Macaca fascicularis: one gene and its partner. The protein of the gene in region 1 interacts with the protein of each later gene in a pairwise test. Links are inferred from orthologs where the notes say so. Each region holds a gene or a part of one and is shown in the gene's direction. Other genes may lie near its edges. The genes, in order: PEX16 and PEX19.

What was found.
Region 2: the proteins of PEX16 (region 1) and PEX19 interact in binary tests that used the Homo sapiens proteins (3 or more experiments, as listed by UniProt). The link is inferred for Macaca fascicularis from reciprocal best matches to the Homo sapiens genes PEX16 and PEX19.

The regions. Positions count from the first base shown.
Region 1 is NC_088388.1:19,943,973-19,948,468, forward strand, and holds the start of PEX16 (peroxisomal biogenesis factor 16), read left to right. Parts: upstream 1-1,645; 5' UTR 1,646-1,956; coding exon 1,957-2,068; intron 2,069-2,274; coding exon 2,275-2,361; intron 2,362-2,627; exon of another isoform or gene 2,628-2,718; intron 2,719-3,799; coding exon 3,800-3,876; intron 3,877-4,257; coding exon 4,258-4,391; intron 4,392-4,496. UniProt on the Homo sapiens protein: Required for peroxisome membrane biogenesis. May play a role in early stages of peroxisome assembly. Can recruit other peroxisomal proteins, such as PEX3 and PMP34, to de novo peroxisomes derived from the endoplasmic reticulum (ER).
Region 2 is NC_088375.1:100,773,967-100,778,542, forward strand, and holds the start of PEX19 (peroxisomal biogenesis factor 19), read left to right. Parts: upstream 1-1,500; 5' UTR 1,501-1,512; coding exon 1,513-1,582; intron 1,583-2,997; coding exon 2,998-3,107; intron 3,108-3,527; coding exon 3,528-3,693; intron 3,694-4,451; coding exon 4,452-4,537; intron 4,538-4,576. UniProt on the Homo sapiens protein: Necessary for early peroxisomal biogenesis. Acts both as a cytosolic chaperone and as an import receptor for peroxisomal membrane proteins (PMPs).

The DNA.
Region 1 (4,496 bases):
TATGGAGTAGGGTGGGGTGAGGCAGTGGAAGGAAGGCTGTGGTTTCCTGGTGAGGTGTAATGCTTAGACCTGGTCTCTAAAAAGAAAATTAAAGTTAAAAAAAAAAAAAAAAATGAATAAAAAGAAACCGCCTAGTCTCTGAGGTCAGAAAAGACCAGCACTCAAATTTTGGCTGGGCGTTCTTAAACGGATGCTTTCTTCATCTGGTGATATCTGGTGGAGAGGATTAGATAAAATAATGCATTACTGCCGGGCGCGGTGGCTCAAGCCTATAATCCCAGCACTTTGGGAGGCCGAGACGGGCGGATCACGAGGTCAGCAGATCGAGACCATCCTGCTCAAGCCTGTAATCCCAGCACTTTGGGAGGCCGAGATGGGCGGATCACGAGGTCAGGAGATCGAGACCATCCTGGCTAACACGGTGAAACCCCGTCTCTACTAAGAAATACAAAAAATAGCCGGGCGAGGTGGCAGCGCCTGTAGTCCCAGCTACTCGGGAGGCTGAGGCCGGAGAATGGCGTGAACCCGGGAGGCGGAGCTTGCAGTGAGCTGAGATCCGGCCACTGCACTCCAGCCTGGGCTACAGAGCGAGACTCCGTCTCCAAAAAAACAAACAAACAAACAAACAAACAAACAAACAAAACAAAACTAGCCGGGCGAGGTGGCGGGCCCCTGTAGTCCAGCTACACGGGAGGCTGAGGCAGGAGAATGGCGTAAACCCGGGAGGCGGAGCTTGCAGTGAGCTGAGATCTGGCCACTGCACTCCAGCCTGGGCGACAGAGCGAGACTCCGTCTCAAAAAAAACAAAACAAAACAAACAAACAAAAAGCATTACTATTACTATTCTCAGGGTACCATAAATCCGCTGGCCCACTGCTTCACCCTTGCCACGCCCCTTTCCCCGCAGCCAATCAGCGGCTGCCCCCCCAGAGCGCCGGTCCCCTCCACCACTCGCCGCAGCTCTCCCGATGCCACCCGTTCCAGGGAGGCTGCTTGGTTTGGGAAGGTATTCCGCAGGAGTCGCCCCCTCCCTTGGGGCGCAGCTGAGGACTGCGAGGTGCGTCCGAGGGCCGAAAAGCTGAGATCGATTCTGAGTTCAAGGATCAAGTCTGCCCTCAAACCATTTTACAGATCGGGAAATCCGAGACCCAGAGAAGGGACACTCCCGCCCAAGGGCCCCCTAGCCGAGAGAAGCCCGGGCCAGGGCTTTCTTCGCGTATGTGGGAATGCAGGCGCGCGCCCGTGGGGGGCACAGTGCATACGGGAGCTGGGGCCGAAACCCAGCACTAACTGTGCTGTCTAGGGGATCCAGACGGCACTAGGGGGCTGGACTCCTTACTGCCTGAGTTTCCCCAGCACTACCTTTGTTGAGGAAACGGAGATGGGGATACTGGCCGAACGCGCGCCTTCTGAGACACAGTCCGACTGCATTTAGACGCCCGCATCTCTCCGAATCTGATCGAGGCTCCTTTTTTCAAGAACCCGCTATCTCCCAGCCCTTTAAAGTCCGGCCCTGCCGTTCGAGTCTCTCGGCGTTCCATTGGAAAGACTCGGCGCTCCAGCTCCCTTCTCTAGAATGAACTGCTCTGACTGCCGCCCAGCTGTCCCGGAGTGTTAACTGCGCAGGCGCAAAGGCAGCCAACCCAGTAAACGGAAGAGCTGGGTGCCGATCACACTGGGCGGGTCAGGGGCGGTGAGCGTGCTAACCAATGACTTGAGGGAGTAGGGGGCCGGGTTTGGGCCCTCAGTTGCTAAGCGCTACCCGAATGGGAAGTGGTTCAAGAGATGGGGTGAAGGGTGGTTCACCGGCTCTTCAAGTCACCAGCCTTCTGGCCCGCGGAAGTTAAGCAACCCAGAGGTGGGCCTAAGACCGGAAGCAGGAAGGAGGGCGCAGGAAGCAGGGCGCCGCAGCCTGGCGTACAGTCCTTCCGTGGATCTGTTGGTGCCGAGGGCAGGATGGAGAAGCTGCGGCTCCTGGGCCTCCGCTACCAGGAGTACGTGACTCGTCACCCGGCCGCCACGGCCCAGCTGGAGACGGCAGTGCGGGGCCTCAGTTACCTGCTGGCAGGTGCCACCTTGACCTTTGATCCGTTCCTTCTGGGCCCTGACCTATGACCCCAGTGGCCCCCTTCCCTGCGGAGTCAGGGTAGTGATCGCTGTGCTTGAGAAGACCCATCCAGGTTCCCAAAGGGCGTAGGGAGGGGACGTCCGGGACCTGAAGACTAAATGTAAGGCAGATGCTCACTCACACCTCCCTCTGTACCCTCTCCCCAGGTCGATTCGCCGATTCGCACGAGCTGTCAGAGCTGGGTGAGCCGGGCTCTGGGGGTGGGGGATGGGGGATCGGCTGCCTGGCCCCAGGTGAGTTCCCCAGAGCGGGTGAACACCCCAACCCGAGGTCCTGGACTGCCCGTTAGACTCCTTGTGCTATGACTGAATCGGAACAAGGTCTGTTGTTCACTGTCCTGGGCCTTCCATGTCCCTAAGTCAAGAGACAGCCTGGGGACCTTATCTGAGTATTCACTACTGGCCAGGAGCTGGGCTAAGTACCTTTCTTACCTTTACTTGTTAATCCTCCCTACAGTCATATTAAGTGGAACTGTTATTGTCCTCACTGTCCATTTAAGGAAGAAGTTCAGTGAGGTTAGAGAACACTTACTGATGGTCCCAGAACAAAGATTCGAGTCTAGATCTCCCAGATTCCAGGATTCGCAGATGGTAACTACCTCAAGAGTGTTTGTCCAGTGACTGCTGTCACAGTCCTGAAAGAATGAAGTGGGTTTTGAAAAGCAGAGGTGAGGCCAGGTGCAGTGGCTCACGCCTGTAATCCCAGCCACTTTGGGAGGCAGAGGCGGGTGGATCGCCTGAGGTCAGGAGTTTGAGACCAGCCTGGCCAACATGGTGAAACACCGTCTCTACTAAAAATACAAAAATTAGCTGGGCATGGTGGCAGGTGCCTGTAGTCCCAGCTACTTGAGAGGCTGAGGCAGGAGAATTGCTTGAACCCAGGAGGCAGAGGTTGCAGTGAGCCGAGATTGTGCCGTTGCACTCCAGCCTGGGCAACAAGAGCAAAACTCTGACTCAAAAAAAAAGAAAGAAAGAAAAAGGAAAAGTGGGCCGGGCGCGGTGGCTCAAGCCTGTAATCCCAGCACTTTGGGAGGCCGAGACGGGTGGATCACGAGGTCAGGAGATCGAGACCATCCTGGCTAACACTGAAACCCCGTCTCCACTAAAAAATACAAAAAACTAGCCAGGCGAGGTGGCAGGCGCCTGTAGTCCCAGCTACTCGGGAGGCTGAGGCAGGAGAATGGCGTAAACCCGGGAGGTGGAGCTTGCAGTGAGCTGAGATCTGGCCACTGCACTCCAGCCTGGGCGACAGAGCGAGACTCCGTCTCAAAAAAAAAAAAAAAAAAAAAAGAAAAAGGAAAAGTGGAGGTGGAATAGACCCTCAGGGACAGGCTGCCGAGAGAAAAAAGGCCAGGAGGAAGGACCGCATATCTGTGGCAGTTCAGAGAGCAATGGGCAGTTGTGGGCAGCTGGATGACCAGTGCCATCCGACAGGGCAGTAGCTGGCTTGTCACTGAGATTGACCCATCCTTTCTTGGTCCAACCACCCTTGTGAGATCATGTTGGGGAGAGGGGAGTGCTGAGGAAGTGGGTGGAGAGGCAGGCTGGTTTCCACATAGTCTGTGGGTGTCTGAGCAGAGCAGGTGACATGTGATCCCTGCAGCTCTGGGCAGAAGGTGAGAGGGATGGAGGTTGCAGAGCCAGCCTCTCAAGGCCACACTCTACCCCTCAGTGTACTCCGCCTCTAACCTGCTTGTGCTGCTCAATGACGGGATCCTACGGAAGGAGCTTCGGAAAAAGTTGCCTGTGGTGAGAATTCTGCCAGGAACAGGGTGGGAAGCATGGGGACTCAGGAATGAAATAGTAGCAGCTAGCCCATGCATGCAGCACGTGTCTCATGGAGTATGAGACAGGCCTATGTCCATCTGAGCCTCAACCATCTCATTAGGTGAGCTGTAAAGTGTGAGTATTCCATCTTAGATGAAGAGACTGTCTCAGATGAAGAGAGGTAGAGTCAGCTGTTTCAGGTCCCCCAGCCTGTTAGTGGTGGAGTTGGTGTTTGAACTCACACCTGCACAGTTAGTCTTGGAAAGGGGCAAGTCCACATCTCTTGTCAGAGAAGCTCCCTCCTAGGAGAAGGGCCTGGGACAACAGGCAGCCCCCTGACTTCTTGGCCTGGGGTTCTTGCAGTCGCTGTCCCAGCAGAAGCTGCTGACATGGCTGAGCGTGCTGGAGTGCGTGGAGGTGTTCATGGAGATGGGAGCTGCCAAAGTGTGGGGCGAAGTGGGCCGCTGGCTTGTCATCGCCCTCATCCAACTGGCCAAGTAGGTTGGGATTGTGGAGGGGGTCCTGGGTCGGGGTGACGCAGGCCAACTACACAGATGGTGCTCAGCAGAGCATCCCTGACCTCCCGCCGGCTAGCCACCTCC
Region 2 (4,576 bases), on another chromosome or scaffold:
AAGCATGAAAGTGATGAGGTGACTTAACACAGGAATTTTTTTCATTTAAAATTCTTACCTTGTGTCATACTTACTGTGTGTATATCTCATCATACCTGCGGCTCACCTCCACTTAGCTACCTTACAGCAGGGGGTGGTCCTGATTTATCTCTTTGTCCTTGCTGTGCCCAGAACAAGACCTAAATAATAGGTGCTCTCCAAGTGCTAAAACAGATCTGTATGTGAAACAGTTGCTACATTCTTACAGATCTGAATAGAACAATTCCAAAGGAGGAAAGGGACGTCTAGAGTTACCTCTATCTGAGCATCCCCGGTGTTCACTCAGTTGGAGGTTGGGTTCTGTGTGGAGAAAAGGAGATTGGTCAGGGAAAGCAAGTCTATTACTAACTACTACATTCTAATTGCCCTGCTCAGTCCAAGGTCCCAGATGCTCTCTTTCTAACATTGAGTTCTAAGTTCCTGGCCCTGTGTCCTTTAATCAAACAGTTCTAATAGAGAATAGGAAATGAGAGATGCCACTAGATTGGGCAGACAGATGTGCCTGATTAGGGACTGCAAGAGCAAAGAGTGGCCAATGAGTGCCTACTAAGTTTTAAACCCTAGCCTAGGAGTTGGGCTTTACAGCAGCGAAGACAACAGACGAAAATCTTCGCCTTCATAGTGTTTAAATTCTGCACGGTGGGGAGCGGAGAATAAACAAGCACGGTAGATAATATGTCAGATAGTGTTCAGTGTTAAGAAGAAAAGGAATGGCCAAGTAAAGTGTTTCAGAGAAGATAACATTTGAATGAAATAATGAAGTGAAGCCGGGCGCAGTGGCTCACGCCTGTAATCCCCAGCACTTTGGGAGGCTGAGGTGGGTGGATCACCTGAGGTCAGTAGTTCGAGACCAGCCTGGCTACCCAGACTGGCCAACAAGGTAAAACCCCGTCTCTACTAAAAATACAAAAATTAGCCTGATGTGGTGGTGCATGCCTGTAATCCCAGCTACACGGGAGGCTGAGGCAGGAGAATCGCTTGAACCCAGGAGGCCAAGGCTGCAGTGAGCCAAGATAGCGCCACTGCATTCCAGCCTAGGCGACAGAGCGAGACTCCGTCTCAACAAAAGAAGTGAGAGAAAGTAGTATGTTATGTACCATAATTGTCATATCAATCATATATGTATAGATTCTGGTTATTTGTAGGCAGTTTGTCTCAATCTAGCCTACTCATAGCTCAGGAAGAAATAATGAAAGAGCTTCGCCAGGTAATTTGGGAAGTTGAAAGGAGTCCGGGCCTCTAAAACCAGGCAGAAAATAACACTATCTTATCCTTAATTCTGTGTTTCACAGGCGAAAGGGGAAAAATACCCAAAACAGAAACTCAAAGCTTCCTGGCCCTTTAAAAATGGCGGTTCCGCACTGGCCAACAATACCATTGGTTGCCCGAGGCAGAAGAGGGCAGGAACGAAGGGGTGGAGGGCGTGGCGGCGCCGAGGGGTCCCGCCTCCTACGGCAAGTCGGAGGTAGCAAGATGGCGGCCGCTGAGGAAGACTGTGGTGTCGGGGCAGAAGCAGACAGGGAATTGGAGGAGCTTCTGGAAAGTAAGAGCCCATAGTGGGAAAGGCCCGAAGAGGGCAGTTGTGAGGACCCATTCCGGGCGTTAAGTGAACCTGAGGTATTAGGGACAGGGCGGGAGAGGATCTCCAAAGGTTAAATGGGGGCGGAGAGTCTGACCGCCAGCCCCCCAAAAAATCTCTGGGTCATCCTGCCCCACCTCCGCGACTGGAGCTGGGGAACTCACCTGGGGTCCCCCAGTGGTCCAGATTGTGGATGTTTCCGCAGGACGGCGTTTCATGATACCTCTCCAAACTCCTCTTTCTTTAGGTTACTAAGTTCTTAAAGTCCGACTTCAGCAGCAGCAGCAGCAGCATTTGGTTCTTGTTGGGTAGCGAACCACGCACTCACTGATTGCTTACATTAACTCCTAGCAAGCTCGTGGCCCATGCTGCTGCGCCTCGTCCTGCCTTCCTTGACATGAAAGACACTTTTCTCCTCGTAGTCCTTTTCTCTTTCTCTCGTTAGGCCCCTTAACAGTTCTTTCATCTTGTTAGTAGCTCAAGCGGACTCCTTTCCCTTATTTTGAGAAACTGAGGATGTGGCGATTTCAGGGGAAAGCAGTTCACCCTCCTGAAAGACGGTGGATGTTTTCTTAGCATTACTGTCCACTCCCCTGTTGGCTTCCTGCCCAGAGTGGGGCCAGTGCTCTCTCCCTGGGCCTGGCAAGCAGAATGGTGGTGAGGACACAGGCTTTTCAGGGCAGAGGTGAATTTGTAATCTCTTGCTCGATCACAGAGATGTGGGCAGGCAGAAGAATGAACAGAAACGCTGAGGAGTGCCAAGTGACTGTAAATTAGCCTACGGTTATCTGCAAAGATCAGACCAAAAGGAGCTCTAGGAGGTTGTGGGAGAGCACTAAACTGGAGAATAAGAGAAGATAGTTTAATGCCTTACCATGGAATGTAGTATGTGGTCCCTCAGTCTGTGCTGGTACCAGTACCAACAAGAAGCTGGGTGGGATGTCATGTGCCTTCTCACCAAGTTATTCCTTTTAGAGCTCCAGAGTGAGTTCAGAGGGATGAGGACATCTGTGTTCTCTACTCCTGTTGGGTATTTATTTGTATGGGATTTCTAGGGAATCATTAGGTTGTGGCAAGGGAGACACTATAGATGGAGATGTCTCTGCAGAAATTTTTAATCCTCTCCTCCCAGCTCTGAGATGGATACTTGTTCCACCGTAAGGGATTTCTTGCCTTTGCTCACAATAAATTAGGTAATCTGGAAGGAAGTAGGAGGCTCATTGAGGGTGGTCTGGGGAGGTGGGGGCCTCAAGGCGGAAAATTGAGGAAAGTTGGCAATTTGAAAAATCATATTCGTAATGCTTTGCCCAGAAACCACCCAGCCTTGCTTGCATCCTCATCTGTCGCCAACACACACACCATGTCTCTTGTCTCTGAAGGTGCTCTTGATGATTTCGATAAAGCCAAACCCTCCCCAGCACCCCCTTCTACCACCACGGCCCCTGATGCTTCGGGGCCCCAGAAGAGATCGCCAGGAGACACTGCCAAAGTATAAATTCCACCCCCTGAAGGGATGGGGAGGGGATGGGCATGCAGCTCTGAGCAGAGGTTGGGCAGGCCCCTATGGGCCAGAGGGGAATGGGGGAGGGTACCTTGGCCTCACATTGGTGAGTGCTCTTGCCAGCCTCAGTCCTTGTGAAATAAGGACTTGAGGTTGAGTGGAGGAATCTCAGAGTTCCTTGAAAAAATAGTAGGTTTAAATGGTTGGATTGGTATGCCATCCCATACCCTCTTTCAAAGACTAGATACCTTTTTTGCTATTCTCATTAGGAGCAGTAGTTAGAGTGTCCAGTGGAAGTGGGTAGGAGGGAAGTGCATTTCCCATAGCTACTGCCTGTGGCTTCTATCAGAGGCCAGGTGCAGTGTAGTTCTAAGTAAGAGATGCATTTCAGCCACCCTTCCCCCGCAGGATGCCCTCTTCGCTTCCCAAGAGAAGTTTTTCCAGGAACTATTCGACAGTGAACTGGCTTCTCAAGCCACTGCAGAGTTCGAGAAGGCAATGAAGGAGTTGGCTGAGGAAGAGCCCCACCTGGTGGAGCAGTTCCAAAAGCTCTCGGAGGCTGCGGGGAGAGTGGGTGAGGAGACCTTAGATACATGGAAATATCTGAACAGATTCTTAAGTCTTTGTTGCCTGAAAACACCAGAATTCTTAGTGAAGTTGATAGTAATCATGATGTCACAGCCATGGAATGGGTAAAGGCAATGAGAGAAGGGGTGGAAATCCCTCTTTTTTTTTTTTTTTTTTTTTTTTTTTGAGACGGAGTCTCGCTGTGTCTCCCAGGCTGGAGTGCAGTGGCGTGATCTCGGCTCACTGCAAGCTCCGCCTCCCGGGTTCACGCCATTCTCCCGCCTCAGCCTCCCAAGTAGCTGAGACTACAGGCGCCCGCCACCACGCCCGGCTAGTTTTTTGTATTTTTAGTAGAGACGGGGTTTCACCATGTTAGCCAGGATGGTCTCGATCTCTTGACCTCGTGATCCACCCGCCTCGGCCTCCCAAAGTGCTGGGATTACAGGCTTGAGCCACCGCGCCCGGCCGAAAATCCCTCTTAATGAAAAGGGGCGAGATAGGTTAGAAAGTAATAGAAAAGATTATTCAAAACTGACCATTTGAAAGGTCACAGTGTTATTGTGGGTATCATCATGGAGAATAAACTGACATAGAGTCCGTGTATTAAATAGATGTATGAAAAGACTATCAGGATAACCGCAGTTTTCCCAGATGGGGAGTGATAATGATTCACTAGTAAATGCTTCATATCCAAGCTGGTAACCAGTTCAGTCTAGGCAAGGAAACAAATTCCTAAATGACGCTGGCTTTTTAAATCTCTCCTAGGCAGTGATATGACCTCCCAACAAGAATTCACTTCTTGCCTAAAGGAGACACTAAGTGGATTAGCCAAAAATGCCACTGACCTTCAGGTGAGGAGAAAGTAGTAGGGTCCCACAAGGGGTCCACTC